Oreochromis niloticus: one gene and its partners. The protein of the gene in region 2 interacts with the protein of the main gene of each other region in a biochemical or structural test. Links are inferred from orthologs where the notes say so. Each region holds a gene or a part of one and is shown on either strand. Other genes may lie near its edges.

Evidence for each region.
Region 1: the proteins of nr0b2a (region 2) and smarca2 form a complex in vitro, tested with the Homo sapiens proteins (2 studies listed by BioGRID). The link is inferred for Oreochromis niloticus from reciprocal best matches to the Homo sapiens genes NR0B2 and SMARCA2.
Region 3: the proteins of nr0b2a (region 2) and pparg form a complex in vitro, tested with the Homo sapiens proteins (2 studies listed by BioGRID, with this or other methods). The link is inferred for Oreochromis niloticus from reciprocal best matches to the Homo sapiens genes NR0B2 and PPARG.
Region 4: the proteins of nr0b2a (region 2) and esrrga form a complex in vitro, tested with the Homo sapiens proteins (2 studies listed by BioGRID). The link is inferred for Oreochromis niloticus from reciprocal best matches to the Homo sapiens genes NR0B2 and ESRRG.

What each region holds. Positions count from the first base shown.
Region 1 is NC_031977.2:35,623,017-35,631,047, forward strand, and holds the start of smarca2 (putative global transcription activator SNF2L2), read right to left. Parts: upstream 3,643-8,031; 5' UTR 3,489-3,642; intron 880-3,488; 5' UTR 850-879; coding exon 616-849; intron 1-615. UniProt on the Homo sapiens protein: ATPase involved in transcriptional activation and repression of select genes by chromatin remodeling (alteration of DNA-nucleosome topology).
Region 2 is NC_031976.2:7,492,645-7,499,866, reverse strand, and holds nr0b2a (nuclear receptor subfamily 0 group B member 2), read right to left. Parts: upstream 2,431-7,222; 5' UTR 2,347-2,430; coding exon 1,812-2,346; intron 1,692-1,811; coding exon 1,450-1,691; 3' UTR 1,105-1,449; downstream 1-1,104. UniProt on the Homo sapiens protein: Transcriptional regulator that acts as a negative regulator of receptor-dependent signaling pathways. Specifically inhibits transactivation of the nuclear receptor with which it interacts.
Region 3 is NC_031970.2:18,929,193-18,937,846, forward strand, and holds the start of pparg (peroxisome proliferator-activated receptor gamma), read right to left. Parts: upstream 3,363-8,654; 5' UTR 3,334-3,362; coding exon of another isoform or gene 3,282-3,333; intron 1-3,281. UniProt on the Homo sapiens protein: Nuclear receptor that binds peroxisome proliferators such as hypolipidemic drugs and fatty acids.
Region 4 is NC_031965.2:26,539,586-26,548,518, forward strand, and holds the start of esrrga (estrogen-related receptor gamma a), read right to left. Parts: upstream 3,679-8,933; 5' UTR 3,354-3,678; coding exon 3,298-3,353; exon of another isoform or gene 3,294-3,297; intron 1-3,293. UniProt on the Homo sapiens protein: Orphan receptor that acts as a transcription activator in the absence of bound ligand. Binds specifically to an estrogen response element and activates reporter genes controlled by estrogen response elements.

The DNA of each region.
Region 1 (8,031 bases), on a different chromosome or scaffold from region 2:
AATAATCAATAAGCTATAAAAAATAGTATTTAAAGACAACACCAGAAGAAAAAGAAGAAACCAGAATAACAGAATACATATAATAATAAAAAACATAAAACAACAAATAATATTTCACTCTCTGTAACAGGGAAATCATCACAACATACAATACTTTATTTCTAACATTAATAACTATACATTTTTAGTCTATGTGCTCCTAACAGAAGAGTGGGCGACTGCCTGCCTAAGCAGAAGTAACATCAGTAATTCTACTGCGAAACTGCCAAAATCTTTAAAAATACCACGACAAAAGTCCACTGCATGAACTCAAGAGTATAAAAAGATTATAAAAGTACTGCAAAAATTCACACTTACTATTTATGTCTGTAACAATTTATCAGACAGCAGAAATGCCGTATACCCTCACTAAGCTAATATATATTTATTTGATACTAAAATGGATAAATAAAATATTTCATTTCTTCCCAATTTTTCCTCCTTTCCTTGTTTTAGTTTGGTCAGTTTATTAGTGAGCAAAGCGAAATGTTAAAAAAACTGAATCCATTAGAGTGATATAAATATCTACTTCAATGGCAGTAATGACATCACGACATAGTTTGTAGCAGACTGTACCTTATGCATAGAATACATGCTGTCCTGAGAGTAATCACTTTGTCCCTGGCCCTGCATGCCATGAGGTGCATTGGGTGTTCCGGGTCCAGGGCTGGGGCCCATCATGCTGTGAACAGAGCTCGGTGAGGGATCTGGTCCAGGGCTGGGGCCCAAGATGGGCCCTGGGGACATACCCGCCCCAGGTGAAGGGCCAGGATGCGACATACCACCTGATGTCTCTGAGGGGCCGGACATCTACTGAATACCTGTGAAGGTACCAGACAGCTAGAGGAGGAAAATGAGAACAAGACTGATGTGATTTTAATTCCATGAAAACAAGATGAGGCACATACCATCAGAAGATGGATTTTAATATGTTAACTGTTGTTTGTGAACAACGTCAATCATGTTTATATGTGATAAAAGAATGTCGGAAACAGCCACTGAGTTAGTTCAACACCTGTGTGACAGTTAAACCTGATTATGATAACCTAAGAAGCTGCTCTTTATTGCATGACTCTTTTCTTGGGTGTAGTGATACTTTGTAGAAGCTTTTATTTCTGGAGCATTTCATATGCTTTTAAACTCTAAACATAATAATAACATGTTTTGAGTGTGTAAATGCACGTGTTTTCTAGAGATTATGTCTAAAGAATCTCATTTTAATTGAAATGCAAGCTGCATTTTTAACCTTTTTCGTTCCTCGGGCATTTTTAATATGGTGATCGTTTTGGCTGTGTTCTGGTTCATGGCATGCATTTTTGCAAGAAATCTTCTATTTAGTCAAATTTATGACATTTAGTGTCTTTTACTTTTACATGTCATTCATACCCTGTTTATGTATTTTGCACCCTTTCTGAACCTCTTGATCAACTTGAGCCCTTTTCAAAATTTCAACATTAAATTATTTTCAGGATTTTAACCCTTTAAATACCAGTTTAAACATTGGAATTATTAAGTATTTATTGAATAAACTAAATATTTTCCATATCATAAATAGTATGGGAATAGGACATTGGTGGTGATTAGAGTCTTGGGCATGTCAAACATCAGCAGCATTATTATTATAAACATGATTGCATTATTATTATTTTTTGTGTAGTGCCTGATAATCCTTCTCGACACCTTCGTGGACAAAAATGCCTCATTCACTTCCACTGAAACAACACTTTTTAATCTCTCTGCATCGCAGTATAAAACCATGCATTCTGTAATGTCAACATTTTATTTGGAAGAAAAGCAGTGATATTTGACATTTTTCACCATATTCAACCATTTCCCCACAGTAGGCCAATGCATGAAGTTCTTGTATTTTTGCCAGTTGTATTATGGATTCCTGTGACCACCAGGGAGCCCCAAGAGTGATTTGTATGGATGTGTGTGTGAAACAACATCTAATTCATCAATGGGAACATTTATTATGCAAACTGCAACAACACTGAAAACACAACAGAACATGTGAAATATGAACAAATATGAACCGAAATACCCAGGCTTTGAATATGTGATGTATGTGTGGCTTTGAGAGAAAGTCCAGTTGATTAAGCGATTTATGAAAAATTAAAGACAGAAAAAAATATTTCTTTATGAGGATTTTATGGCAGATTGTGTGTGTATTATTCCTTATTTATTATATCTTAACATATTGTATTGTTAAATAGTCTAGTCTTTTTGTTAATGTTACTGTACTGGAGCAACTGTAACCCACATAATTTCCCTAGGAATTAATAAAGTATGCTGATTATGATTATACATGTGCACTACACACACAAAAAAAAAAATCCATTCAAATCAGACTTGTTGCTGATGTCTGACATGTCCGTATCCCCAATTCTATCAATTATACGGAAAATAATTCGTCTTGTGTGTGTGTGTGTGTGTGTGTGTGTGTGTGTGTGTGTGTGTGTGTATGTGTGTGTATGGGGGGGGTAAAAACAAAATGCAGTAGTTCCAATGTTTAAACCGGCATTTAAAGGGTTAAAATTCTGAAAATCATTTAACGCTTGCTCATTTTCAAAAAGGTTAAAGTTGGTGATTTATGAAAACGCGGAAAAATTATTGCTGTATGAGGATTTTATGGCAGATTTTGTGCGTGTACATTTTTGTCCACGAAGGTGTGGAAAGAGGTGCAAAATCTGAGGAGGGCACAGGGTTAAAGGCAAAGCTCTCCTGCACAGAGAATAATAAAACCCGAGGCTGCATAAAAGGATTCTTTCATATAGAAAGAAGAAGCTGACATATGTCTGACGTTATGTTCTGCTTACAAGTGTCACTATGAGCCAGAAATTTCCAGGGTCTCAACAGCCGTAGCATGACTGACTTATAGAGCTGCATAGTGATTGCAAAACGTATCTGCACCGTTAGAAAACACAGCGATGTCATAAACACCTATAAGAAAAACAAAAAACATGCATAACAATCAGCGCCACGTAGATAAACGCTGTTGGAGGACCAGCGGCACTGTTTTCCGACCGTCCCTGTACAGTTACAGTAACGTTAGCTCGATCAACTGTAGAGCCCACTCTGATTGGATCATGGCTTCCCCAAAAAACTGGTGGCCATAACGGATATGCAGACAAAATCAAAGTTAAGATGAAAGTCGAGCACCTGACATGACCTCGTTAACATTTAAAGATGCATAATTTAACTTGTGTATCGCGTTTATAAACACGTGGTTTCACAAAAGCCCTAAATTCGGCCGTTTTTCGCTGCCACTTTGCTCGATCGTTGGGTAACTTAGCCATCTGCTAACGTCAGCTAGCATAGCCCGTTAGCTGGCTCTGGTTTCCATGCAGCGAACTGCGTCCGTGTCAGAAAGTTTGGGCAGTTAGCAGTTCCTAACAGTAGTTACACCTCAGTATTCATCAAAACCGAACCACCGTTAGTCGTTTTACCTTTTCGCTGGATTGAAATTGCAGATAATTAGATGAAATTTTTATAATATTTCTTCAAAATATGACTGCTGTCCATAAGTTCACTCCCCCTCGGTGTTGTTTTGCTGACATGTTTAAGTTGTTCTTGTGTCGCCATTACTGATTTGTCAATGTCACCGGAAGTCCCACCTACCTTAAACGGTGATAGGCTGAATCGCTGTCACTCTTGCCGTGTTGTTTTTGGGCGTGTGTCCGCTCTGTAACCAGTGCTGGAACTTTGAGAGCAGCAGCCTGGACGAATATCCCGCTCATGTAAAAGTTTATTACAAACGCGCGGTTCATGGTTTGTGTTGTAATAACGTATTTGATGCTGTGAGAGGCGTCCGTGCGCATCTGTCAGTGCTCTTCTCCCTGCCTTTAGAAATGAATACTTAAAAAATAATACTTTGCTTTTATAATTGTGTTTAACATCAGAGTAATTAGCAATTAGTTATACACACTGCACATATATGCACTGCACTGTGTGTATAATATGTATGTATGTAACGTATGTATGCCTTTATATGTTCTTAGTCTATTTCACTACAGCAGGAAAATATAAGCTCACTTTTTTATTGTTTCAAGTTTTAATTTAATTTTTATTCATATTTAACATTTAATACATGAAGCTTCAAAAGCACGCAGAGCAAACTTTATGGACAGAAGGCCTGATCCAACGTAGCATCCGTGGGATGGCGAGCTTTGGGCCAGTGGTGGGTCAGTCAATTCTCTTTTAAAGAAAACTGTCTGAAAGGATCCTAATAAATGAGTAGTTTTTTCTTACTGTCAGTATTTCACAGTAAAATACCAATAAGAGTCCTTCATTAAATCACCATGTGGATAGTTGATATGACCGTGACATGGCATGGTTATGGAGTAGTTACCGCTGTCACCATCCTTCACAGCACGAAGGTTCTTGGCTCAAATCCCGGCTCTGTGGATTTCACATGTTCTCCCTGTGCCTGGTGGGATTCCTCTGGGTAATCCAACTTCAAAACAGGGCATGGATGTGAGGCAGATAAAGTACTTTAATTGTATAGAATAAAGTGCTACATGAATATATGGTTAGAATTTGACTTGTAGTCTAAAAGTGGTCAGTAAGACTAGAAAGGTACTATATAAGTGTGAGTAGATTATAGTTTAATTGTGAAGAAAGGGATGCAGAGGGGTGTCTGAAGGGGGGCACAGCATTAATTCCACTAATACTAACAAATCATATTATAATCTTAAGTAATTCAATTTCATAGGTCAACAAAAATATGCAAATGTTATGCTGAACACTCCATGTCATGGTGAGGCTCCTCCCTGCTGTATCATCAGTACCTTTTCAGTGTGATTATGTTTTTTTGCTTTGTATTCTTGCTGCTTGTATTTAATGAAACGATGCTATCAGTCTTAGACTTGGCTATTGTTCCTCCATAAAACCATAAATACACATCTACATTAATGACGATATAAACAAACAACCTCTTTTCATGCAGATATCATTTAAATTCATACAACAGAACATAAAAAAATCTCCTGATAGCAAATAACAAATTACACACTTTTAGGGGGTTCCGTGAGGAGCAGCTAGTATATTAAAAGTGCAAAAATATGGAAAGGGATAAAAAGCATAAAAGCCAATAAACAGTAAGTTGACATTGTTAAACCTAAACTGAGATTAAACGTCACAGCATACATCATCTCGTGGCACTTGTACATATGATCAGTGATATTTCCTGCATCGCTGTCTTTGTCTTTCCACAATCAGACAAAACTGCTGCACTGAGTCAGCACAGCTCTCCTCTCCTTGAATCATCGTCTTCTTTAAAATATATCAATTAAGTGATTAAATCAAATCTAACTACATGCAGATGTTGCACATTTCATCTCATAGAACTCTTTATGTTGTTAGTTACTTTTTGTAGTTTATTAAAAAAAAACTCCTTCAGTTCATTTTTTTTACATAGTGCCAAATCACAACAACATTGCCTCTATGGACTTTCTCTAAAACTCCACAATATATGAGAGATCATGTCACTGTCAGCTGTCAGTCACAGTACACAGTCTGACTGCATTAGACACCACAGTGTTTGCACACTGTTGCTGTGGTACCATTAAAGCAGCTTAGGGAAAGTGCTCCTCTGTGCAGTTTGTCAAGTGAACACAAGATGGAGACACTGACCAGCGGATGCCTCAGTGAGCCGGCCTCCTGCTTTGACACAAGCACCTGTGAAGAACTGCATGCCTGGGCTCTAAACAAACACGCCAAATACAGAGTGATTGAGTGCTACAGTACACATTTACATTTACCAACTTAGTAAGTCTGACAATAGCAGAGTTTAAAGGCAAGCCATGCAAATAATGCACGGGTTTAGCAAAGCTCCATTTGCATCCTATTGATATCAGAAACTGTGTTTTGTTTTCATTATGAGAAGATAAAGCTGTTTTTACTGAACAATGTTTATTTAAACTCAGAGTAGATATTATTTTTTTCTGTATAGTACAGTTCATAATTTGTCTGCATTTACATGAAGTGTATCTTATCCAAATGAATTAAAATAACGATTAATAACGATTACAGCCTATTTTAGCATGGTAATATATTCAAAATATTTCTCTGGGATTTCTTCCAGGCTGACTCTTTCTACACACTGGTGCTGTCAGGCTTTCAGAATCACTCAGGGAAGTAAATTATTTTAACACCCTGTTGGCTTTGTTTTAATACACCCAAAACTTTTTGGCAGTCTTCTGCTGAAGAGGAGAAATGTGCATGTGCTAGAAAGTTTATTAGAAAGTTTATATTTCTCATTTTTTACAGTAGATAAAAAATAAGATCCACCAGATCCTACAAATATGCACAAAACTCGTCTGTTTTAGGATTATTTTGAAACGTAATCAACAGGATTTGCAATAAATATCAAATATTAAAAAATGTTAATGATTATTTTTCAAATTTCAGTCTTTTGAAAAACTAATTTTATTCGATGTGAACTATCTGTGCGCGAGCAGTGACACTTTGATGACCTTCAAAGGTATTCAAAGCCCTGACCAGCCATCATTTGAATGGCCTGCACCCCACAGATCGATAAACAAAGCTGCTCACGAAACTTTGTCCTAACGTCCCCTCCTTAACAATTCTGCCCTTTCTTACGTGTCCTTATAAAGGATGTGCACAGGGTTCCTGAATGTAAATTTTACCCAAATAAATAAACCTAATTAAGTTTGTGGTGAAAGCCACCACCCCCTTCAAATTCACCGAGCCAGGAAAGGGCTTGGCCGCAGTCATTTGTCAGTAAAAGGACTAGTGGTTGTGGCTTCCATTCACCTTGAAACCCTCCGTAAAAGGCTTCGGGGAATCACTGGCATGACAATTTATTCAAAGTCTAAAGGTTTTTAAATAAAGGGTCAAACAAAAGAACATTCAAGCAGAAATGCAAAGAAGGGCTCTTCAATTTTGTCTTCTTTGAAATATCCTATTTTGCTTTATTAGTCTCTTTAAAGGCAGAATGGAACCTGAATAAAGAAAAGCACATGTGAGAGTTTTACTGTTTAAATACCAAATATTTACAGCAGCAATTAGAAGCCACTTCTAATCATTTTTGATAGTAAACGAATAGGTTTGAAAGGTGCTTCTGTTTCTGGTACCATTCAGCATAAAATAAAGTTTCTGATTATTCTGAAAGATTATTATAATTATAATTATTATTATTATCTTTCTATATTTTAATAAATCAGGTTTGGTTGGTCTTCAGACTGCAGAATGCTGCTGCAGAACTTTAAACTGGCACCAACAGAAAATCACATATACTCGAGTTTTGGCTTCTCTTCATCGGTTGCCAGAAAATTTTAGTTTGAACTTTTTGGGCCCTTCATGGTCTCAGCCCCCGAGTTTATCTCTGACATACTCAAACATCAGGTCTTCAGGTACGAGGCTGCTGCTGCTGGCCACACTTACTCGGTTCAAAATTTGTGGGGATCGGGCTTTCAGGGAGAGAACCTGGAATTCACTCCCACTGACTCCACTGACTCTTTCAAAAACCAACTGAAGCCATTTTTAAACAAACAGGTTTTTAATTCATTTGTTGTTTTATGTTTTATTCTATTGCTTTACATTGTTGTATGTTTTATTTTTATCTCTTATTTTATACATTTTACTTACTGGCTGACTTAATAATAGTGAATTAAAATCAGTTCAATAGTTGATTAATTAATGGTTAAAACATTTTAATATTAGATGTTTGGCTGTCATGGCAACTATCTTTTAAGTGTATCTTGTAAAAATAAATAGTCAGCAAACCATCTTCAGTGTTGCTCATTCACTGATTTATTTTATCTTCATTTAAATGTGGACTACTTTTAATTTGATTCATCTGTACAAACAAAGCATGCACAGCTGTATGAGGCTCATATATACCAGAGATGCTTAGAGACGTCTCTTTCAATCACCAACCCATCATATAAAATACAAAACTGATTCCCATGGCCTCACAAATGACTTTATTGACCTCAGTGAAAATTCCAAATGAAAGGAAAAATAATT
Region 2 (7,222 bases):
GTTAAGCTGTGGTTTTTAAACAATGCTCAGCGGGTACTAATGTGTGCCAGGAGAGTATCCCCCACACCATCACTCCACCACCAGCCTCAGCTCAAAGCCGAATTTTGTTTGCATGTTGTTTATGCCAAATTCTGACCCTACTATCTGATTATTGGAGCAAAAAATAAGACCCATCAAACCAGACAACATTTTTCTAATCTTCTATTGTCCAGCTTTGGTGTAGCTTTATTTTCCTGTTCTTAGCGGACAGAAGTGGCACTCAGTGTGGTCTTCTGCTTCTGCTGCTTGTAGCCCATCAGCTTCAAGGTTTGGCATATTTTGCTATCAGAAAAGCTCTTCTGCACAGCTTGGCTGTAATAACTGATTATTTGACTTGCTGTTGCCTTCCTATCAGATCGAACCAGTCTGGTCATTCTCCTCTGACCTTTGCTATCAACGGGACATTTTCACACAGAGAACTGAGATATTCTCTGTAAACGCTTTTTTTCTTCTTCTGTTTTTTGGCTTCATTAAGGTCTTTATTTGTTAAAGCAGTGCAAAGTTCTTTTGTATTCCTATCATTTTAATGTGTTCAGATACTATTTGTTTTTCTGTAATACAGTTATCTAAACCTATTTTCAATAAAGTCTTCTAGCTGTTAAATTATTTTAAATCAAAAAGCAATCATGTTAAATGTAACATGTAAAACATTTCCTGACATTTTAATGCAGAGGTTGTTTAGGTAAAAATGACTTGACAAGCATTTTTCTTGAGGAGGCATCTGGTTGAAATGCTAGGCTCGCTACTTCCTGGATCAAAGAAGAAATACTACCATAAAAAAAAGTTTTCTACTTCATTCCAATGTTTGTTTAAAGACCACCAAAATCATCCTTTTACTCCCATTTTCAAGGTATTTGCTTTTTAAGAGCTCTGGCAACAACAAGAATTTAATGTGTACATGCTGTCCTGCACATATCACTGATGGGCCTGCCAATGAAGTGCAGGGGTCAAATGTTCAAACCAGACTGTCACTATCAGATGTTCCAGCTGGTACATATATAACAAACTCAATGTTTGATTTGGCTTCCCTTTTCAGGTGACTGACACACAATTTCACTCTTCATTCGTGTAAAAAAAATAGATTTATTTGAAAACCTTTGTAAATGCAAACAATAATTATTTACAACAGAGAGCTCCCGTCATGAGATCAAGCAAACATATGGACAGTAGGTACACTCTGTCCTAATGTAGAAAGTCAAATCCAGTTCAATTGGACGAAATCGTGTCAGACTGGGCTACAGTGACCTCGGCATCATTTTCAGTGTAAGCAATTCATAACCCCATCTTCAACAATTCACAGTTTTTGTTTTCTTTGAGTTTTTTTTTTAATAGTAAATGTGTTTTAGAGCAGCCCACCATCAGGCATTCCTTCATTTCACAAAGACGGAAAAGCTCTAAAATCCACCGCTCCTATCTGCAGAAGAGCATGTCGACCAGCAGCTCCAGCAGGTTCGCCTGTCCTATCACAGGCCGGAAGAAGAGTTCAGTGATGAGGCTGGGGGTGATGCTCTGCAGCATGGAGGCTGTGAGGAGGATTCGAGCAAAGCGGTCCCCGTCCCCCGGGTGGAGGAGCTGAACCACCTTGCTTAAGGCCTGCTGAGCTTCCTGTTGCAAGCCTTCCACAAACAGGGCTGCCTTCAAATCTGGTACGTCTGTTGGTGGAAAAACAAAACAAAACTGTAAAGTTACATGAATGCTTAATATTGGACACCGTTATTAAACCACCGAACACTGACCAGAGAAAGCTGAAGCTGAACACATCGAATATGTACCTGGATTAAATATCGTGGTCCCTTTGAGGTATGCGTACTCCTTGGGGCTCAAATCCAAACTCCAAAACTTTTTGAGGCAAGACACGAGTTTGCTGACACCGGCCATAGTGGGCTGCTCCCTTTCCACCTCGGGGCTCTCGGGTCTGTTCAGGAGGATCTTTTTCAGCATGCTGTCAGTGGGGATGTCCGTCACCTCGAAGTCCACACGCTCTTGGGCCAGACCCAGAATGAAGAGTGGCGCCCAGCAGCTTTTCAGAAGGGCGAACTGGTCGTTTGGAGGCAGCTGGTTAAAGGCGGGCAAGTTTTTCATGAAATTTAGGGTTTTTACCAGAACCGCCGAAGCTTCTTTGCAAATCTCCGACGGCCTTTTCAAGCACACTGTCCGTCGTGCCTCACATTTGCATCTGTGAGGCACTGAATTGTAGCTGAAGTTGCCTTGGCTCAGTCTGCTGCCATCCATTTGGCTCAGGATGTTGTACAGGATAGGATTTGAAGTCCTATCACTGCTGGTTGAACAACGACACGCGCTGTCCATTTTAACCGAGTCACAGATTGTGTAGGCAGTTAAATGAATCCTCTGGCAGGATGGGCTCTTCACGAGCTTGTGAGCACAGCTGCTGCTGCTGCTTGGAGTCTCCCTCTATTTATAAGGCCAGCCCAACCTGCTTCAGTGGACCTTGACTTGTCAATATGCTCCATATGAAAAACAACTGTGTGCTCTGCCAGGTGACTGGAACAACCCTGGGAAACTGATAAGCTTTTCTCAATGAAAAGGAGCTGCTGAAGTAACGTCTGGCTATCAAGAGGGCTGGGTCTTATCTTGTAACCGGTGTCATTAACCCAGGCAGTACCAAGCTACCAAGGACTGCAAAAAGTAATCAGCCCCACAGTGAGCCCCTGCTTGCTGCCAGCTCACACCTGTAATACTGGAAACAGGCCAAAGTAGACTTGGGTCACTGACCTGCGAGATAACTTCAAATAAAGTGTTTCATGTTTTTTTTTTTCCCAAATAAAAGAGTAAAATCCCAGAACAGAGCTGGAATTTTAAAACTCTAATTTAGTGGAAACTGGTTGTAAACAGCCACCTTGATGTTATTGTCTTTACCTGACAATATAAAGCGCCTTGAGGCAACTGTTGCTGCGATCTGGCACTATATAAATAAAACTGAATTATTTGGCAAGGAATCTTGACTTTTAAACAAGCTGAGTTATTACTATTTATATTGTGATTTTAACCAGAGGAAGCTTTATATAAGAGAACTGTAATTCAGCCTCCTCCAGCTCACAAGGGTTGAAAGGTTGGACACATATTTGAGAAAGCAGACATTTATTTTCACTGCCACATTGCAATGTAAAGACTACAAGCATGCAGTTAAAACACAAATTCTGCACAAACCTGTGAAGAAGAGCTAGAAAACCTTCTTGTGTACCACAGGACAGCCTTGAATATGGTTCTATTTATGGTACAGAAATAGCGTTTCAGCACTATCACACACTGGTAAATGGACTGTTACTTGCATAGATCAGTTGAAATCAAATTCAAACTGCTTTCTACAGTCTCACACATCCACACAGCACTTTTATCTGTGCCTAAAACACACGCTCACACTCTGATGGATACATCAGGGGGGACTCAGGATTCAGCATACCACCCAGGAGTACTTTGACACCCAGACTGGTGAATCCGCAGCTGCCCAGTGGTATTTATTGTATTTCATGTTTTGTATTTGTAACGGATGTTCCAATGAAAACACCGACACCACTAAAAGTCCAGATCGCTGGCAGTCTCGAGAATCCCTCCCTCCTGTAAAGATTAATCTGCAGTTTGGGAACAGGCAGAGATAACTGGTTAGTGGATCACAGGTCAAGCTTTGTGTAACACGGGGACTTACTATTAAAGCAGGGTCAGGTGATTATGATGATTCTGAGGCGACTGGACTGGGTGTGTGGCCGTTTATCTATTAGCTGGAGAATCCACAGCATCTGTACAAAATGACCGCTGAGATATTTCAGTCTGCACCCAAGAAGTAGACTGCACCGTACCTGCAGCCCTCCAGCTCTGACCCGTCCACTCAATAAAAAAACAAAAAACTAATGTGTGAGAAACTGCTCTATTGACACAACTGCTACACACATTTTTTTTCTCCCACCACCCCTCAAAAAATATTTTTTACAATTAAACACAAAACCACCTGCATAAAACTGTTATTTATTATTTATTATTGGTTTTGCTTTTGTGAGTTTTACGAATTTGGGGGTTTTGGTTTATTATCTGAAGCTTAAGTGTTTCGTTTTTTCAGATGTATGTAGGGATTTACTTAAAATTGACCTTGGAAGTTATTCATTTTTAGGGCAAATCTGGAACCAGGAATTTTTAGAAGTGTTCTTTATCATTGTGAGATGGGATAAAATTGGAAATTGTGTGTCTTATATCTTCACAAATACACACACAAATATTTAAAAAATGTTCTCAAGTCAATATAAAAGAAATCCAGATCAGTCTGGGTCGAACTCCTGTGTACTGTGAAGGGAATTTCCAGCCCTGGCTGTGTGTGCAGACTTTACGGCGATTGCCCTGATACGTGCTGTACTACTGTACTGCGAAAAAAATATCTAGTAAACATTTGTACTGGCCATGGCAAATTATTGTACTCATGAGGTTGATCTTACTTCAGTCTGTGACATTCTTATATCTCTTTATATATCAAACTAACTTTTATGAATTTTCTTTTCAAGTTTATGAAACTTGAAAGGAGCACAACAAAATCCTGTACGTGGAGTTCATGACGTCCGTAACATGTCGTACACTTTTCCACTTGTCATTTAAATGCATTTATCCTATTTTGTTATCTTCCCCGTACCTGGCACCGAGGTTTGGGGCTGATAAGAAAATGATTTTATTATCATAAGAAATAAACAAACAACCCAATGTGGAAGACCTCTGGTTTGAACATCCAGTGCCATGAACTATAGACAGTAAAACATTTATGATAGTCAGTGATCCCGGGTGCCACCATATATGATGTACCATCCTCGTTATTTATTGTTATTTAGTGACACATTTGCCAAAAAGCCTGACAAGCCCAGAAGCTTGAAACTGGAAGTTTAAGAGGAAGATCTGAACTGCAGGGTACCTGTGTCAAGGTCAGTTCATAAAGTGAATGACCGTAATAAAGAGATTACACACCAGACACAACTGGCAGCACCAGTCACCGAATATTTGTTTTACGTTATCAATGCCTTTACTCATTCCTTGAAAGAATACATGAAAAATGTTTAACAGCCCTGTTTTTTTTTTCACAGGGTGATCTCATTATGATGGACAGTATCATATCAATCATATGGGACACGATGTCTGTACTCACAGAAGCCTAATCGAAGTGGACCGCAGCTTCAAAACATGATAAGACGCATGGGTTATCTTCCCTTCAGGAAAGTGACCTATACTTCACTCAGCAGCCCTCAGGCTTCATCAAGCATGCTGACAGTTGTAAATGCTTGTGATAAGGCCCGTGTTTATAGAGGTTTGGAGCAGGCACAGACGGGCACGGAGGACAGACGCTTATCTCTGCCAGGACAGTAAAACGAAAACGTCCTTCATACTATAAGTAGAACAACCACTGTGTTCGGAGTAAAGGGAAGCAAGATGGTGATGAAGTATGATGTAATAGACAGGAGCTGGAGACTGTTTTCCTAATATCTTCAAAATTCATGCACCTTAAAAGAATTTATTAGGTGACTTTACTGTAATTGCATTATTGGATTTGTGGGATATGTGTCAACAAGTAGCTCAGACTCATCTTCACAGACTGAGTGCCTGAACTTCCACTGCTTCCAGTTTTTTCAGGCCACTGAACGCTCCGTGCTACCACGTGGGTGCATGATGGACGTCATGTGTTGAACATGACTTTTGGCCTTGACCCACTGCTAATACAGCGGAGGTTCATTTGCCTGGTTCCATTTTAATAAGGTCATCAACCCAAAGATGATTCACACAGGGTGGCCTCATGGGAACATGTACTCAGGAGAAGAAAAAAAACAGAATCACTAAATTAAAACTCAGATTGAAATTGCATTTATATACACATAGAACCTCAATTGCAGTGAAATAAAAGAACAACCAAAAAAAAGACATTTAAATGAAAGAATTATTAAATGAAGTAGTAAATGGTCTATCATTCCCCTTTTTGAGCTCTTTAATTTTAAGAATAAACTTTAAAATAAACATCCTCTTTTCAAATGATGCCGAGTTTTTCGGCAGTGACTGTTCAAGAATGTGCCCCAGTGAGCAAAAAAATCACATTTTACATGGTTGTAAACTTAACAAGGTTCCAAGTCGAGCTTCACCATGCAACAAGAAGAAATAGCAGTGAGACAAAATATTTTTTTGAGCATGCAATTTATTGAAAACAATGCTTAAACTGAAACAGGCTGTTTTACAGCTGATCAAATGTTTAGGACCACACTTCCACAAAACCCATAACAGAAATCAAAGTTCCAAACATGGACTCAGTAATGAGTAGCTCCACTGTTATTGTTGATCACTTCAGAAATTTGTTGCAGCGTGCTTGATGCAAGCGTTTTCATTAGGTGAGTGGGAACATTTCTCCAAGTAGTGGAGACGGCCACATGAAGGGCATCTACTGTCTGGAACTGTTGTCCATTTTTGTAAACTTCCCTTGTCATCCATCCCCAAAGGTTCTCATTTGGAATTAGATCAGGGGAACACGCAGGATGGTCCAAAAGAGTGATGTTATTCTCCTGGAAGACGTCCCTTGTCCCGTGGGCATTGTGTACTGTAGTGTTGTCCTGTTGAAACGCTCAGTCGTTACCACACAGACGAAGGCCCTCAGTCATGAGGGATGCTCTCTGCAACATCTGGACATAGCCAGCGGCCGTTTGACACCCCTGCACCTCCTGAAGCTCCATCGTTATACTGAAGAAAAAGGATCCCAGACCATTATGGTGCCCCCTCCACATGACGTGTAGAAAGAATCTCAGGTGGGATCTGCTTGTCACGCCAGTAACGTTGGAAACCATCGGGACCACCAAGGTTAAATTTATTCTCATCAGAGAATAAAACTTTCTTCCACCTTTCCATGTCCCGTGTTTGGTGCTCTCTTGTCTGAACGGTCAGTTCTGTGGTGTTCAAGGAGACGAGGCCTTTGAAGACGTTTTTTGTCTTTGAAGCCCTTCAGTCTCAGATTCCGTCTGATGGTTATGGGGCTGCAGTCGGCACCAGTAGCCACCTTAATTTGGGTTTAGGATCGTCCAATGTCCTGACAGCCAATTGGATCCTCCGGCTCAGTGCTCGATGAAATTATGGGTCTTCCACTTGACTTTTTTGTTCCATAACCCTCAGGATCATTTAAGAAATTCCAAATGACTGTCTTACTGCATCCCACCTCAGC
Region 3 (8,654 bases), on a different chromosome or scaffold from region 2:
AGCGGTGAAAATGCTTATCTCGAAGCCTCAAATAGGGACTTTAAAAATAAACAGGTGACGTCACGGTAATTCCATCCAGTATGAGTTTGATCAAAGCTGAACCAGGAAGTTACTCCAAACTTTCGGAAGTCCGGGTAAAATTGTACTTGTGTATCTTTTCACCAAAATTACTTTTGTTAAAAGGCTCTACGATTATTGCAAAGCAATAGTTCACTTGTTCGCTACCTCTATGATGTATGTCAGATAACACCACTGTGTTCCAGACATATCGTCTCTTCGTTTTCAAGCACGTGAAAGTTGATAACAGATTAACATGCTTGAGCAGGGGTAAGTTTAACGCTCAATAAATCGTTTCTCATTATTCAGGATAAAATGCCTACATTTTTTGCAGAGAACTCTAAATTAATAACAATCAGTAGATTAATCCGTGACAATACCAATAGTAAACAATAGTAAACAGATCTCTAATAAAAATTAGGGCCTTTATTAGGGCTTTAATATGAGCCCCAGGAAAACGTGATTCCTCATGTTCACAGTCTAAAATTTAGGAGGCAATTTTAAGCGGGCATCAGAAGAGAAATACCTGAAAGGCATCATGTTTACACTTGGCAGCTAAAACATGTTCTCTTCCCACACAAACACAGATTTATTTAGGACAGCATGTAAAGAAATGAGAAACATGAGTCACTTCTCAGGGAGCAGGTGTTGTTGTGATTTAGGAATCATTGCGAGAGTGATAACAGGTGCTGTGGTTGCAAAAAAGTTTACCTTGCCAAAGGTTCTGTCGACTCAATTTGCATTGATTAAAAAACCCACATCTAACACATTCAGCATGCTAAACCTCAGACTCAATCTTCTGATTCAGTCTAAGAAATAGTGAAATGTTAAGCAGAGGGACGTTTTTACATTTCCCAAATGTACAGTTGATGTTGATCAGCTCCAAATATACAATAATGCAAAAATACGACCCTGCAAAAATGGGCTAAAAATCAAGTAAATCATAATGCTCATCAGTACAAATAAAATCAGTATAGACACAAATTTTACAGTAAAGAGGAGGGGACACTGGTTTAAAGAAAGGGAGATCCAGACATAAAAGTTTAACTAGTAAAGCAGAATTTTTCATTTGTAAATAACCTGCTTGTGTCCCATATTTCGGCGGTCAGTAGAATTCCGCAGCCAAAATGTTGCTTTAAACATACAGTAAATGGTGAAATGATTGGCCTTGAAGTTAATAATTACACCCAATTGAAAAAACAAATACATGACCTTAAGGCTAAACTGCGTCAAATACGCATGTCATCAGATAAAAGTAAATCAAACATGCGCTTTTGAAAAACACAGTAAGAATAAGTTAATCTGATATATAGTAAACAAACCAAAGTGTTGGTGGTGTAGAAACAAAAGTGGTTAATTATCTGTGGGCTGTATAGGAACGTGCCATTCACTTTTATATGGATTTTATGCAGACACAAATGCGCAGACTGTCTTCTTTCCTTTCATGCAGTGATTATGCTTGGCTCTTAATGAAGTTTTGCAACATTTTAAAACCGCTGCATAGAGGAGCGGCAACTCTCTCATCATAGATTTTAAATTAACACAGATTTTCAAGAACTAAGGCAATTGTCTGTGCGGAGGTGTTTTTAAGAGGCTGAACTTTGTATCTGTGGCTTTGTGCAGAAGTATATCATCTACGAAAAGTCAAACAAGACTTTCAGCACGTGTGATGGACAACAAAAACATAGCATGGTATCTTGAGGCACTCCTTTCATTTATGGCAACTAAGCAAAGTCCAAATCTATCACAGTCATTCTCTCACACACACCAACACCCATACACACACACACACACACACACACACCTCACTTCTGCAGTTATATAACCCGACAGGCAATAAGGCACTGATTGATGATGTATCAACACACTCAATTGGGTAGTCAGATTTTAAGCAGCGTATGCAGAGATTAAAGGCTAATTTCACCAAAGATATGATATATTTCTCTAACTGATAAGAGTTCCTGGAGATTTTAGACACAAATATTTGAATCAGACACAGCGAAACAAAAGATTCAAAAAGTTAACAAAAAAGTCTTTTTCAAACAGTATTACCAAACTTACATGAAATCACTTCAACAAAATGAAAAAAACAAAACAATAACCTTTTTATAACTTCTCTTATTTCTCACCCACAATTTTATCAGAAGTTCTCTGATTTTAAAATAGCCGTATTACATCAAGGGTCACGTTGCATGGCCGTTTAATCTGTGAGATCATTCTGCTAAATGTCTAATAATTCACAGGATCTGTTACTTGAGATCACCCTTAAAAATGTACTACTACTATATTTAAATAAAATAACTCCCGTTTTGTCGACACTGTTTCTCTGACTTTCTGACTTAATTGTTAAAAATATATTGCTGCTGATTTTCCACTATCTTTATCTTTGCTGAATATTATGATAAAACATGACTGCTTCAGCTCATTTACTACCACTGACATGTACTTACTCACTTGGGGAGCTGTTTTTACATTTGCCTTCAATTGATTCCCAATTTTTGGTTTTGAGGGTCAACATACTGTGACAATAAGCCTGCTGTGATGTTAAATGTAACATCTAATAGACTCAGAGGAAAGTAAACAGACCAAACACATGAAAAATGTCTGAAATGCCCTTGTGCATGTAAATAGCAAACTAAGTTTTGAACGAAAAGTTGTGATTTGAAGGATATAATGGATAAAATAGTGATTGTTGCTGTTATAAAATATCTCTGAATGTTCTTCCAGCAACCCCACAGTGTTATGAGACGACTGACATGAAGATCATACAAAGCGATGAGGAAAACAGGTGAACTTATTGTGACACTCTTACGCTTTACACGGGGCTCTTACAAGTTTTCTCACCGTGTGTCATTACTGAGTCTTAAAAGAATACCACCGAGACGTTTAACAGTTCACATCATCTATCACAGAGCCGCGCAGCAAGCCTCAAAGAGAAACGAGTGTTTAAGTCTGAGCTCCAGTCAACAATATTGCTGAGTCACCACCATTATTTTCCTGTCAATTCCAAGAACACAGAACTGCCTGAAGCGTGTGCGACATATCCACAAATTCCACGTATGACACAAAAGGTATAGACTTCAGAGAAGTACACATACACATATGTACTGTACAGGCCCTGTAAAAAGCCTCTTTTACTCAGATAAATGCTTATGAAATGCTTATTCTACAAAGTTTCTCAGCACGACATACACAGAAACAAACAAAGCATTCCTCGCACTCACCTGAGAAGCTGTGGTCAGTTTGATGGGTAAAATCTCTGCCTGGTGTTTGCATGTCAAGCTCACACTCACACTATGGCCCTCAGGCACACTATGGCTCAACACCTGACTTTGTGTCAGTTGTCAGTCCTGTGGCCGCCCCCCGCCCCTCCTCCCCCCGTCATTGCCACCCCCAATCTGTGTGCCACAGCCATCCTGTCACACTGTAGGCTACCTGTGCGTGTCCACCTTAACATGTAGACCGGGGACAATACTGATTTAGACACAGCTGGATAAATCAACAAGTCTCCAGCTTGAATCTACTTGTTTAAACTACTTTTGAACCAAATCACCGCAAACATGTTTTCTTTTGTCTTTTTTGGTTAACGTGCACGAATATTTAATATCAGATGAGACTGCAACAGTGTAATATTAACCCAGTCTTCAATAATTTAAATACACCCCCCCCCCCTTTTTTACGGTGCTTTCCCGTATTTTCTCACCCAGCCTAACAACCGCAACACTCAGCGCAGCATACTGTGCCGACCGGAAGGTGACTGACCTGATCGGTGTGTTGAGGCGCAGAGGAGACAGCGCACACTCTCTGTTTCTGAAGCTGGATGGTTTGTCTTTTATTTTCGATGTTGTTAATTTCTTTCAAAACTCGAAAAAAAACCCCAAACAAACAACGGAAAACCCAAACAAACCGTGGCGTCCGCACCGTGCGCACCGGAGCGCGGCGTCAAAGAGGTCCGGCGTGTTTGCTGTGCGGTTTTCTGCTCAAGCAGCAGCAGCAGCAGCTGTGGTCGTGTCAGCCTGCCTCTCTCTCGCTCTCTCTCCTCCCTCCTCTCAACACAACCGATCGGGATCGTGAGGACACAGGCAGAGGCATCAAATTACCCATTATAGTGGATTTTCTCAGTTGTTTGCCCCATATGGGAGAAACAGGTAATGTAAAATTCAGACCTAAAAGTGTTGTTTCTTAGGTGTTTAGCCATGTGGAACAAATAACTTAAAGGAATAGTTCCACCTCTTCAGCAAAGCACATATTCACTTAACTTGCAGGTAGTTAAGATAGTTTGATATAATTTTAACAGTAGTCAAGAGCTCAGTGGATTACCTTAGACCAAAGACTGCTAAAAGAAAAGAAAAAAAATCACCTTTTGGTATGGTTAAAAACTAATAAAATCCGCTTACCACTTGTGAAAAGCTGCTCTAACTTAGATGCACCAATAGTAAACTGCATTCGTATATCATTTACCTGCTATGTGTCACGCTATTTTTTTTTTCCGGGAACTGTGTATGGAACAAGTGAGTCTCTTTAAAGTATTGTTCCCCTCCAAGAAGTAGTTCGGCTTTTAGATACTGGTTTTGCAGATTAAGCAAGTAAGGTTACACTTTATTTGGTAAGTTTGTTTTTTTTTTACATTTATTTTTATTTATTTATTTTTACTAAGATAACCAGTTGAACGTGGCAAGAAAAATTCAATTCAGTTTAATGTAAGTCATATGTCGTGATTCACTAGCATAGTTATAAAAATAATCCATTACTCAATTATATATACTTAAACTTTGACAGGTTTCATTATGGAGAAAAAAAGGCGCACATTGAGACGTCATAGCTTGGATTAGTCTTGTTTGATATTATTGGATCACTAATACTGATGCATTCACGTGTAAGCACGGGTTTGTTGATGTAGTTTTTTAAAGGTGGGGCTCGTTTTATTTAGAGTACTGGTCGGTAGCTTAATCGAAAACAGTGCAACGTGTTTTCTAAGCTGACGTCTTGTGTACATCAAATCTGAAAGCTAATTTGTAACTACTTCATAAGTAGCAGCTGTACTAAGCTGTTAACCAACTAATTTAACTTTCGATATTAAGTCCATTCCCCAATAATAGTCAATTGTTCCTTTAATATGCAGTCACTTGACAGTAAGTGGTTGCTTGTTTTGTTGCTGCCTGTCGGGCCCCCCCCCTCTTAGTCACTTAGTTTACCAGTGATGACTATCGGGCTGATTACAGTCATATTTCTGACATCGCAGTCTTTGGTCTTAGAAGACAGGACTGAATTCACCTGCTGAAAGACAACAGGGTGATCATTTGACTGTGCAATTAAGTCATCTAGTTCACTAGGAAATCCTGCGAGTGTCGTTTAGCAGATAACATCCTGTCGACCCTCTCATGTGTTTACTGAAGCTGAAATTTTACTCTGCTGCATCACTTAGTTCATGAAACTCCATCCGGACAGTCAGCTAGCCTGCTGAGACTCAGTGCAAAAACAGGTGCACAATGAATAGTAAATTTGCCTACGTGCTGCATCTTTTTAGACTTTGTTGTAGATTTAAGGATCTTTGACTAACCTCAACAAAAAGCTCGCTCTGTTTTTAACTGAAAACCAGACATGACAGAATCTAAGGGCTACTTTTAATTTTTTTACACTGCTGACTGAAAGCAGATGTGGTTCGTGTTTTTTAATGCTCTTATCTTGAAATCACATTTTGTTATATCTGACTACATATCGGATGTTGAACTGCTGTAAATACCCTGCTTACCACAGACTGAAGGAGCTATTCTTAAGATTACGAATGAAGCATCTCAGCACTCACGGTGCAGGTGGGTGTTCAGACTGAAATGTGCCATTGCATGAGTACTGCTCGCTAAACAAAATCCATGAACAAACACACATATTAGATTTTGTTTTAAACTTTTACCAGTGCTGAAATGTACAATAGCCCAACAAGTACAAAGAGGCCTGTAGAAAACACACACACAAAGGAATAAAGCTGCCTTCCCCCTTTTTTTGGTCATTTGACCAGAGTCTGACCTGTTGGGGCTGCTCGCTTTGAGGTGGCTGTCTATGACGTTGAAACAGCATGTGCACAACTACATGTCCTGGTTTGCATTCATGGTTTTTCAGGAAGTTATTTTAGCAAACTGTAATCTTTGGTTTGCAATAGAGACCGTCGTCGTGTCACTGTGATTGCAACAAATAAATATGAATCTATAGCATATGCTAGAATTCTTAGAAGGTCTTTCAATAAAAATGTAACAAGTCCAAAAATTGTAGTGGGATTTGTGTCAAAACCAAACTAAAGCAAACGTGTGAACAGATACCTGACGGTGTTACTTCTCAAACATCAAGGTAGAATTTGTGTGAGCAGACGTTTCAACCTGTTTTTGAAGCAATTCAACGCAACTGATGTTAAGCCCTGCCACTCACTGCTCAACACTGCAATCAATTCTAAAAAAACCCCCCAAAAAAAACAAAACAGTTTCAAAACGCAGGTAAATGCAGCTGTTAATTTTGCTACCCTGTGAGTGCAACAGTGAGCTTCAGTTTAGCTGCCTTTGATCTATTATAACTCAGTATGGTGGACTGAGACAGCTGCTACACTTTGGTTATTTACACACACACACACACACACACACACACACACACACACACACACACACACACACACACATTCTCTCACTCTGTCTCACATGCATAACATCCTCCCCATGCAGAATTTCTTTCTTTTTTTGCAGAGATAAAAAAAAATGACACCCCTGAGAGTTTGGCTGTTACAAACAAAGCAAAGCAATAATTTCTGATTGTTTATACAGTCGAATCCCTGCAGACTCGAGCTCTGGTATCTGAAAATGTTCATCATGAAAGTACTTGTGTATCTTAACAGGGCTCTCCTACGCTGTCATGATTATTATAAAGTGAAAAAGACTTGTCATTTTTCAGGCTTACGAGGGGTGCAAGCTGCTCAAAATCAATGTGGCTTTTAGTGAGGAAATTGAAACCCTCACAGTTAACGTTACGGCAGAAGAAATCGGACAAACTGGCTTGATTTGTCCCTCCATGCTCTTATGTATGGGATGACAAATGAACTAAATCTTTAGATTATAACATTTAATCTCCCATCTCTCCCTCCAGCAGGTTGGGATGAGCACCAAGACAAACAGGATTTGGCTAGTATAGGCTTGCTTGGTGCGTTAGCCGCCCACATAAATGTCCCTTTGAGCAACGTGATGGAGACGTTCCCACAGATCTCTGTTGACTGGTTGCCCCATGGACCAAGAGCCAAAAGCAAAGTGTGTTTCCTCTGTCCTGACTGCACACACTGTATATAAAGTGTGTCTGTTTGTACACGTGTGTGTCATGTTATAAGCGCTCCCAGACTTTGTTGAAGAACTGGTTCTTTTTTCTAATTTTAAAAAATTGTTTAAACTTGATGTTACCTTGAAACCCTTTGTGATGTAGATGAAGCATCTGATTATGTCAGATTTTTTATGCTGCATACAGTAAACACACTGTCTGCCTCTTTACACAACAGAGAGGAAAACAAAAGTTCCGTTTCACGCAAAAGTATTGTGGTTTATGTTAAAGGCTAAAGTGGCACATGTGAAAAGGGCCCTTCCACCACTCGCCTTCTTAAAGTGTGACAAAAGCGTGACATTAAAGGCAGGATATGAAAGAAGAACAGGATGAGGAAAATATGACAAAGAACTTTTTTTTTTAAAGTGTCATTAATATGTGTTTTTACACACGTCTGTATGTATAAGTAATATTTTTAGAGACATCTTTAGAGATGTGTAAGGTATTTTTATATGGAAGGTATTCTTTAATAGTGTAATAAAAATGATAAAATGCTGATCTTGAGAAATGACAAGTACACAACTGACAGCACTTCCACATATACACAGTGCCATCTGCTGGCTCACAAGAGAAAATTCAACCCAGTGCCTCTTAAATAAAACACCACAAGACATCATTAATTCACACCTCGCTCGCTTAAATTTATGTGATGCTACTGGCAAATGATCATTTTTCTACTTTAAAGTGTTCATAAAATGTAAATATTGTTCTGACTGTGTAAGATATAAAGTTCTGCAATGTTTTGATATACAGTAAGCCTTCTGGCATTGTAGATTTGTTAGGGAGACTTTTGTGGATGCCTTAGTATTTTTCATCTAAAGGAAAATAAATATATATGCTGAGAGAAAAAGGACATAGCAAAAAATTACACAATGTATCTCAGTATAGATTTTCAGTGCGAATACATTTCAAAATCCAGTGTGTGATATACTGTAAACTTCCTAAGAGCGTGACTAGTGAATGTGGGACCCTCTTAGCTGACGTTTGTCAGTAGCAGCAGTCTGTGCCACATGTGCTTATTTAACATTTATCTTGTAAGTTACGGTGTAGTTCTTCACACTGGGGCAAATCTGTTGAGTTCACACTTCAACAGATACAACAACAGATGCTTTTAACAGTCATGTGTCTTAAAGGTTAAAGTCCTTTTAATCACTTTAATCAAAGCTTTGCCTTGTGATCCGTGGTACGTCTTAAATTTCCTGCTAGACAAGCCATGCCAGTACGTAGACAATCACATGGATGTCAGTGAC
Region 4 (8,933 bases), on a different chromosome or scaffold from region 2:
ACACACTCACAGACACACACGCGCGCGCGCAGCCAGCAAATCAGCACGGCACATATTGACATGCTTTGACAGATGAATTAAGTAAATGATTTTATAAGGAGATTAAAAGGATTTTAATTTACGCAATCTCTCTTTGGTCCCCCTGTCCCTCCCTCCAGTCAGCTTTACCTCTCTTTCTCTCTCTCTCTCTTTGCTGCATATCCCCCTTTATAGGCTGAAAAATAAGGTCCAGCGACTAAGATTAAGGAAAAGAAAAAGATGGGAAAAAACCATTAAATGCTCTTTATTGTCTAATCAAAAGCAAGCCATATTTTCTCTTTATTCTGAATAACTAAACATATGTATATTTTGCTGTCGCACATTTAAACAACAAACGGTCAAAGCGTCAGACGGTTGGCCTTCGAGTTAGATTTTTTCTCAATTGAATTTCTTTCTCAGTTTCATATAAAGTAGTTTGCCATATTAGGAAATCAGGAAAAGTACATCTCTGTATGATGGCCAATGCACTTTTCCAAACGTGAACTAAAACAGTGGCATTTGTCGCAGCAGAACAAGAAGCAACACGACATTACGTGTGAAAATTTGATGCCTGAATTATATTATATATACTAGTGTAAGTAAAAAAAAAAGTTTGTTTTTCTGTCACATCTAAATTTAGTCTGATGAACTACTTCAACAATGTTTAACCTGAAACAGATTTTTATTTTTATTTTTTTTTACTCACAATCACAAATAATTTCTTTCGTCTACATTTTCATGTATTTAAAAAGAATTAAATCCAGACACATCAGATTGGAGAATAATTCCTAATCAAATCATTTGTGCTCCCTTGTGCTTCTCTTCATTACTGCACTACAAAACCTTTGCCTGACTGATCGGCCACTGTGCAGTTCTCACCACCCGTCCGTTCTCCCTCACACCCACTGTTAAAAACACCAAAATCACTAAAGTCACTGTGGGAAATATATTTTAATGATATGCAAATGTTATGTATATGGTGGCATGAGGGGAATGCAATTATGTTAACAGCTTAAGTGGTACTTGTTGTTATTATTATCAGTATGATCATCATTATCCCTAATATTTTAATTAGTATAGGAAAGCAGTGCCTTAGAGCAAAGAAGGGAAAGCCTGAGCCGAGAACAGAGAACGGTGGATGGATGGATCGATGGATGGATGAATGGATGTGTGAAGGAGCGGACGGACAGATGACGGGACCAGAGGGCTCTCTAGAAAACGTTTGAGTGGCAACAGCTTACGTACACTTGCTGAATCACACGCAGGTAAAGCAGAGACATCTCATGCTATATGTCTATCAGGAAAGTGTGTTTTTCAGTGAGCATATTGATGCTTGATGTCTAAACACACTTTTCACACTTCTTGTCCACTAAGGAGCAAATCCAGTTCAGAAGTTTTTGAAAAATTTGAATTCTTTGTCTTATTCTGAAAAAACAAAAACAAAAAAAATCAAGACTCTTACACCTGAGCCGTTACAGGTCCTTAAAATCCACCCCACTGTTTTGCAGTTGAAGGACCAACGTAGAGAAAGCTTGTTCAGATGCAATCCACAGGGTTAAAACCTTCAGATTTTGCTTTGCTGGAAATTCAGTTATTCCCTCTAAAAAGGGAACTGAAATGACTGATATTCTCAGACTCTCTAAAAGCTTGATTGGTCATACCGCAACGATAATAAAATAATCATTTAAAAAAATCCTGCACATACATTTTAATTTGTGCTCTTTAAGCATTTACTTGCTCAGAAGGGGCAATTTCTCATATTTGCTTAAATGACATTTTAATTCAAACAGACTGAAAGTTAAAAGACAAATTTTTAAATTAAAAATATAATAAAATAATATTTTAATGTAAAGTAGTGGTACAGTTTATCTCCGTTTATTCTTTTAAAAATGCCTCTATATTCAACATGCTTTACGAGTGAGTGGGGCATGTGTGCTTTAAAACACAAATGATTAGAAAGACTGAAAGCAAATGAAAAATTGCCTATTTCCATCAAAAATGTTACGAATACCATTTTGGGAAATATTACAGTACAACATTTTGCATGAGCTTCTGCTCTGACTTTGTTCTTTCAGCTTTCCCACTTCCGACTCTCTACCGTAAAAAAACACTTAAACTGTGGCTTTGATTTAGTGTCACTCATTCAAATTTAGTTCTAAGTGGAAATGGGTTTAATCTAAGCATGTGTTTTAAATCTATACATATATATTTATAGATATATATATGACCATAAAATCTTTGCTTCATTTATGAGCTTTTCAAATTCGAAAAGATGAATGCCAATAATTTTATACATACAGACAAAAAAGGTCTGTTCGGCTACTGAATCACACACGCACAGTGTCGGAGGAATGTTTTTATCTTGTCCTGTTTAAGAAAAGAATTAAGCAAATACTGCTATGCTTTAATCATTTGTTTGTTGGCTCAAATTTTGTTTTTTAAATAATTGTGCACACAATAATCTAATCAAGCAAACTGCTGTCCACTCTGCCAATCACTTAATCTGCATTTTGCACATACATCTAAAAGAGCAAAGCATTGGCGAAAGGAGCAGCTCAGCAGCACTCGTGTGTTTGTGTGTGTGTGTGTGTGAGTGTGAGAGAGAGTGTGTGTGACTGTCTCTAATTCCTGAGCGGGGCCACACGCTGAGCTGCCCGTCTGAAATTCTACCTCCTCTGGCATTTAAGAGCGCAGCTCTCCCCCTTTTCTCTCTCCCTCCTCTCTTATGGGCCCTTTCCTACACGTTGCTCCTGTAACCTTAATGCCCTGTTATCTCGCGGATTCTCTGCTCGGATGAACACATACTTAAACCACACATGCATAAGCATAAACACATGCACAGGTACACGCATGCAGACATGTAGTGAGAAAGTTTGTCCCAAGAACAGTCTGACTTCAAGTAAAGTGGTTGTTGAAAACAGCGAAAGTGAAAATGGAGTAAACAATGTGTGTTTGCAGGCAGGTGTGTTTGTGCGTATGTCTCACTTTCAGGTGAAGGGACAGAAATTTTGCTCCTCTGCCCACTAAGTAAGAGCTGCTGTCCGGATACTGCAGCCACACACACACACACACACACACACACACACACACACAAAGACAAGAGTGAACGCGTGCTACCTGACAGCAGAAACAACCTTGACACGGTGCCGGCCACCTCCGCTGCATACCAGCACATACACTCACTCACTGACTCACACAGTCACTTACAGTGGAAGACAATGGCAATGACAAGTTGGATGATCAATAAAAGGATAAGAGTAAAAGGTAAAATTTACCTACTCTTGTTCAGAGTGCATTAAAAAACACTCGGATAACGGGTGTCCTACCGAATCCATCGGCGATACCGGGTCATTGTCATGTCAACCTCCTCAGGGTAAATGGCAAGAAATTAAACACAAAAAAAAAAATGGAAGTTTTTTTTTTATATCTCTCCTCTCTCTTCTTTTCTCTTCTTTCTCTGATCTTCTTCTCTTTCGGTCCTTCCTTCCACTTGGAGTGAGCAATACAATTACCGGGCTCTGCGCTGCCTGGACTGATCAGCTCTGCGTGTGTGCGTAGAAGTGAGGGAGCATGTGTATGCAGTGTGTATGTGAGAGTGAGAGAGAGGGGGCTATAGGCACACACACAGCCAGCTAGTCAGGCAGTTGGGACAGAAAGCTGTGCTGCTGTCCTAATCAACGACTTAAAGCCCCGATAGCGGCTCATGAATATTAAGCAGCATTTTGCATATGTAGTCCCTCAGGTCCCAGTTGTGCTGTGATTGGTGGGTGCTTCACCAATAGCTGCAGGGAGGGGCGGAGAAAGGGGTGGAGAAAATATGGGAGAGCGAGAGAGAGGGAGAAGAGCAGGTGGAGAGGGAGGGATCAGACAAAGAGCACGGAGGAAAAGAGAGAATGAGGGAATCAGGAAGGAAAGGAGGAAGCAGAGAGGAGAACGAGACAGGTGCGAGAAAGGTTTAAAGCAAGACAACCTGCTCTCCTTTTTACTGTATTTCTTTCTCTCTTTATCAATCCATCTTTCTGACCTTTCTTCACTGGTCTCTCACTACCCTGGTCACTCCTGCTCACTCCTGCTCTCTGCATGTACCTGCATTGGTAAAATTACATTCTCACATAAACTGCAATATTAAAAACTGACAATATATTTATTTCTAACAATGTAAAAAAAAGTTTTAACCAAAATCCTTTCAAATAAGGTCTGAACCACATGAGTAACACCATGTTATTAGGATCTTTTAAGGACCCCAATATTGATTTGTGCTCAAATGGAAAACACAAAACTGACCTAATCAAATCCAGAGAAATGCAAGATCAAATAAACAAGTGTATGCTTGACCATGAACCCAAAGCCTGAATACTGTGTCACACCGTAAACACACAGGCACAGCGCAGCAGAACCCATCGCGGCCCAGCAGTAAAATATGAGATTATAGCAATTCCAGAGCGCTTGTCCTTTGTTGTGGAATGATTTGGGCATGATTGGAACAAGGTTTTCCCTGCTGCTTGCTGTTTTGTCAAGTTCACTTTCATCTCTATACCAGGAGGCTGTGTATTCCCAGTATTTCCGAGCACCTTGGAATGTGAGCATAGGTACTGCGACTGGGATTCTCCAGGAAAAATTAGCTCACCGCTTCTCAGTTTTAGAGCAAGGAGGAGACAGCGGAAAAGAGAAAAGGGAATGCAAGGAGAGCGGGAAGGGCCTTGTAAAAAGGGGAAAAATCGGAACCCTGTAGGGACACTCTGAATGATACACGCACTCTTTCTGTCCTCTTTCCTTTCTTTTTAACTAACGTCTTCCTCCTTTTGATTAGACTTTTTCAACACTTGGGTACCCCTGCACATGGGATGGCGGGGGAGAGAGAAGTGTGGAGTATAGAGGGAGACAGAGAATGGAATCGGAGGGGGTGGAGGAGGTGGAGGTGGTGGTGGTGTTGTTGGGGGTGGGGGGGGTGGTGCAAAGATGAAAGAGAGTGGTTGTGATTAGCAGCTTTGGAATAGTACAGATAATAAAATATTTCCTGAAACCAATCTCAGCTTTGATGTACATGTGTGTGTATGTGTGTGTAACTGCTGCCTTTTCTTTCCCTGTTTTTCTTTGACAAACACAGAGTCCAATGTTCAACATTTCAACTGCTTAACAGAAAAACTGTTACTAAAACATTGAGGTTAGCGCACTAAATATTCTTCATATTCTTCTTAGTGTAGCGTAGGATATGTGTATTGGTTTTGCTGATAAAGCACTCTAGCTCTAACTCTTACTCTAGCTGCATGGAGAACTCAGTACCTGTTAGCCATAGTACTGTTCAGTTAAATGCCATTTTAAAGGTAATATGATTATAGCTTAATACATGTGTGTGACGTGGAGAATTTTTTGACATTGTGGTGCTGAAAGACCCTGTGAAACTGAGCTTAACTGCCTTCACATGGGCACAATCAGGGTCTTTACAAGAATAAATACATATTTAGAAGTTGTTTCGGAAGCCGACAAAGTAAAGATCCAGAGACCACATACGAAAACAAACACACTCATTGTCACAGACTACTTGCACAGATGTACCTTTGCCATTTACACAGAAGGATAGGAATTCAAATACATGTCTTTACAGATATATAGCTGTTAGGTTTGTGTACACACATACACATGCAGGCATACAAACATACACACAGTTATGATGTATCCAGAGGCTTATAAGCATCGACAAAGATGAGTGTGAATCAATGCTGCCGTCACTACTGTGCAAACAAATCCTTTACCAAAACCTCAGTGTCTAACACACTCGTGCATACACAAGTACACACACACACACACACACACACACACACACACACACACACACACACACACAATCTCTGTTTCAGTGCAGAAAGTCCAAAATGTTCTGCCTAACACATTTATTTAAAATAAGAACTACAAATCATACATTGAATTAAACAATTAGAAGCCTAAACGTCTGTGGGTTGTAACATATCAACGAATGGCTATATAAATATTTGAAGAACAGTGTTTTGACGCACACAGAAATCATTAATATTTGTCTAAGATGAACTGGTTGCGTTTATGGAGGCGTAATTTTTAGTTAGTTTATGTTACAAAATATTCAATGATTCTTTAATTTATGCAGTTTGTGTTGAAAGTGATTTCTACTGACTGATAATTTAAGCACAAGCAGCAATGTGGTAAAACATAAGAACGCAGTCTAAGAATCAGCTTTCACTGTGCATGTGTGGTGAGTGATGCCTTACAAAGCTTTGCCTTTTATGTAAATACAGAAAAAAATGTTATGGTGAGACAATAACATCATGTCATGCACACAACGCCACAAACAGAGCTGTATTCCTTAAAATCCATCAACCAGTGCACACACATAACAGCCGTTACTTTTTCTGTCTTTCTGCCTCACTCCTCTTTTCCTTCTCTGACCCCTATCCTCCCCACCCCCATAGACTATTGATTGACTCTCAGTCAGTGTGTGTATGTTGACAGTGACCCCTTTAGGCCACTTTTCTCTATAACTGGACAAACCATAAACATCTTAAATGCAAACCTTTAACTCAAAAAGCCAAGGAGAGACCTTGAGCATCCACGATGTGTGCATATGTGACTGCTGGGTAACAGACAATATTTCCATGCACAATGCTGCAGAAATATAACTGCAAATAACAACATAAAAACAAAAAATATGCAACTCAGTCAAAGCACAGTGTAAAAATAGCATTTTATCATAATTAATAATTGTATGCATGTGTAAATGGCCTTGCTGGCATCATTTTAAAAGTTCATTTACAATGTAAAACCTATTGAGCTCTGTAACTGCTGGCATCTCATTCTTCTCTTGTCTGCCAGTGTGTGTAAATCTGTGTGTGGGTGTGTGTGTTTTGACCCTGCGGTGGCAGCCTGTTGACATCTATGGAAGAATTATCCATTGCAACTCTCGCTGACATCAATCACACTACTCAATAGGCCACAGCAAGTTCATTCAGAGCCCTGTATTGTGAGCGGTTGTATGTGTGTCTTTGCTGGTCAAAACAATCTTTAACAAATTCAAGACGCGGCCACTTAGGAAGCTGACCCCAGGCCACCCATCGACACATGTGCCAGTCATGAACAAAGTACTAGACTGAGGCAACAACTGCAAACAAAGTACTTTCAACAATAATAAAACAGAGCATTTGTTCTTGATAATTAAAGAACATTTCCTTTTTTTTATAAACATTTACGCATTTAAGGTAGGTTTAAGTAAGTACTACGAGCAGGACAAACATTTGACATTTTAATGTTAAAATGAGGACTAAAAAGCTAAGCTGTACCAAAAGTGAAATGAAGCAATTTGGAAATTTCACACATTACTGAACTTTGCTTTTGTAGAAAAGAGGGGGTGAGGCAGACGGAGAGAGTGAGAGTAAGAAATTGCACTTCACTTCAAGCCAACAGAGGGAGCTATGGACTCTGGTCAGTTTACAGCCAACAGCAGCACAAAGACTCACAACTCGTGTGTCCATGGCTGTTTGTAGGAATGTAACTAAAAATATGCAAGATTAAGTCACAATATCATTCATTGTGAAAGCCAACAAAAATAAACAAAAATACATAAAAGAACACCATCTCTCAAAAACACACACATAATACAAAGCTACACCACCAACAGGATCAGGGGAGATGGAGCTAAGTTATCTGATAGCTTTGTCAGCAGGTACAGCAGAACACAGTGTGGATATGGACAATTTGAACAAAGACCCCTGCCTGCTCCTCCAACCTGAACCCAGAGAGAGAGCTAAAGGCAGGGAGCAATGAAGAGTGAGAAGGAGACAGGGAGAAAAACAGAGCAAGAGAAGCCAATAGGAAAAAGCGAGAGATCTGTAGACTTGAAAAGACATCTCTGTCACTAACGTGACTGATGGCTGTAATAGCAATGAAAGGGTTTGAAGTCACAAGGTGTTATTAGATAAACACTGAGTTTAAGCTGCAGTTCATTTCAGGCTGTGTGAGTGTAAAACAGCAAAGGAAAAAACTTGCCCTCTGGGCTATATATTTTATGTATTATATATTACAGGATATAATCCACTAGGATAATCAGAAAATAAAATACTGTAGTAGTCATAAAGAATTATTTTTTTTAAAAAGGAGTGATGAATATATTTGGAATTATTCATACAAAATAAATATCTAAAAAATGTTTTTTAAATATTTAAAAATGACTTCTATGATCGAGTCGTGTCATAGCAGCAATGTTTGTCTATGTAAACTAAATGGGCCCTAATTACTATGCTACATCCTACTTCCTGCATTGCACTTAACCTCAAATTAGTCATAACAGAGTTAACCAACTACAAATGTCTTAACTTTAAAGAGATTTCCTTACTACAGTAATGTAATAATATCAGCTCCTCACAAGGGCAGCAGAGAAGGCAGTTCAAGTATTGGGTGTTAACTTTACAACCGACATGTTCAGACCAAGTGAGTTTGACTGAGTTTTGGATTTCCAATGAGGTGGAACTATTTGGTTTGGTCAAATAATCAACATTTTACAGGCCTACATCAACACTCCCACATAGCAGCCACATGCTGGCAAAACGAATAATTTGATGAAAACTAATTACCTGACGAACTGAGTGAACTTTTCAAAAGTCATCGTTTTGGTTGCTAAATCATTTTGTGTGTTAAGGGAAGGAGCAGTGATGGCGATCGAGGCCAAGGAGAGAGCACCAGCTGCTGGGGAAAGCTGCTGGGTTTAGGGAGCTTTCTGGAGCCTGTCACCAAAAGCCTGTCTGGGTAACCTTTGGAGAAGGGTACATGAAAGTTACAAACACACACATGCACACACATGCATAAAACACACTAAAGCTTATACAACCACACCAGCGTAGTGAAGTGCCATTGCAACGCATACTACATATACAGTACAGCTGTGTGTGGAA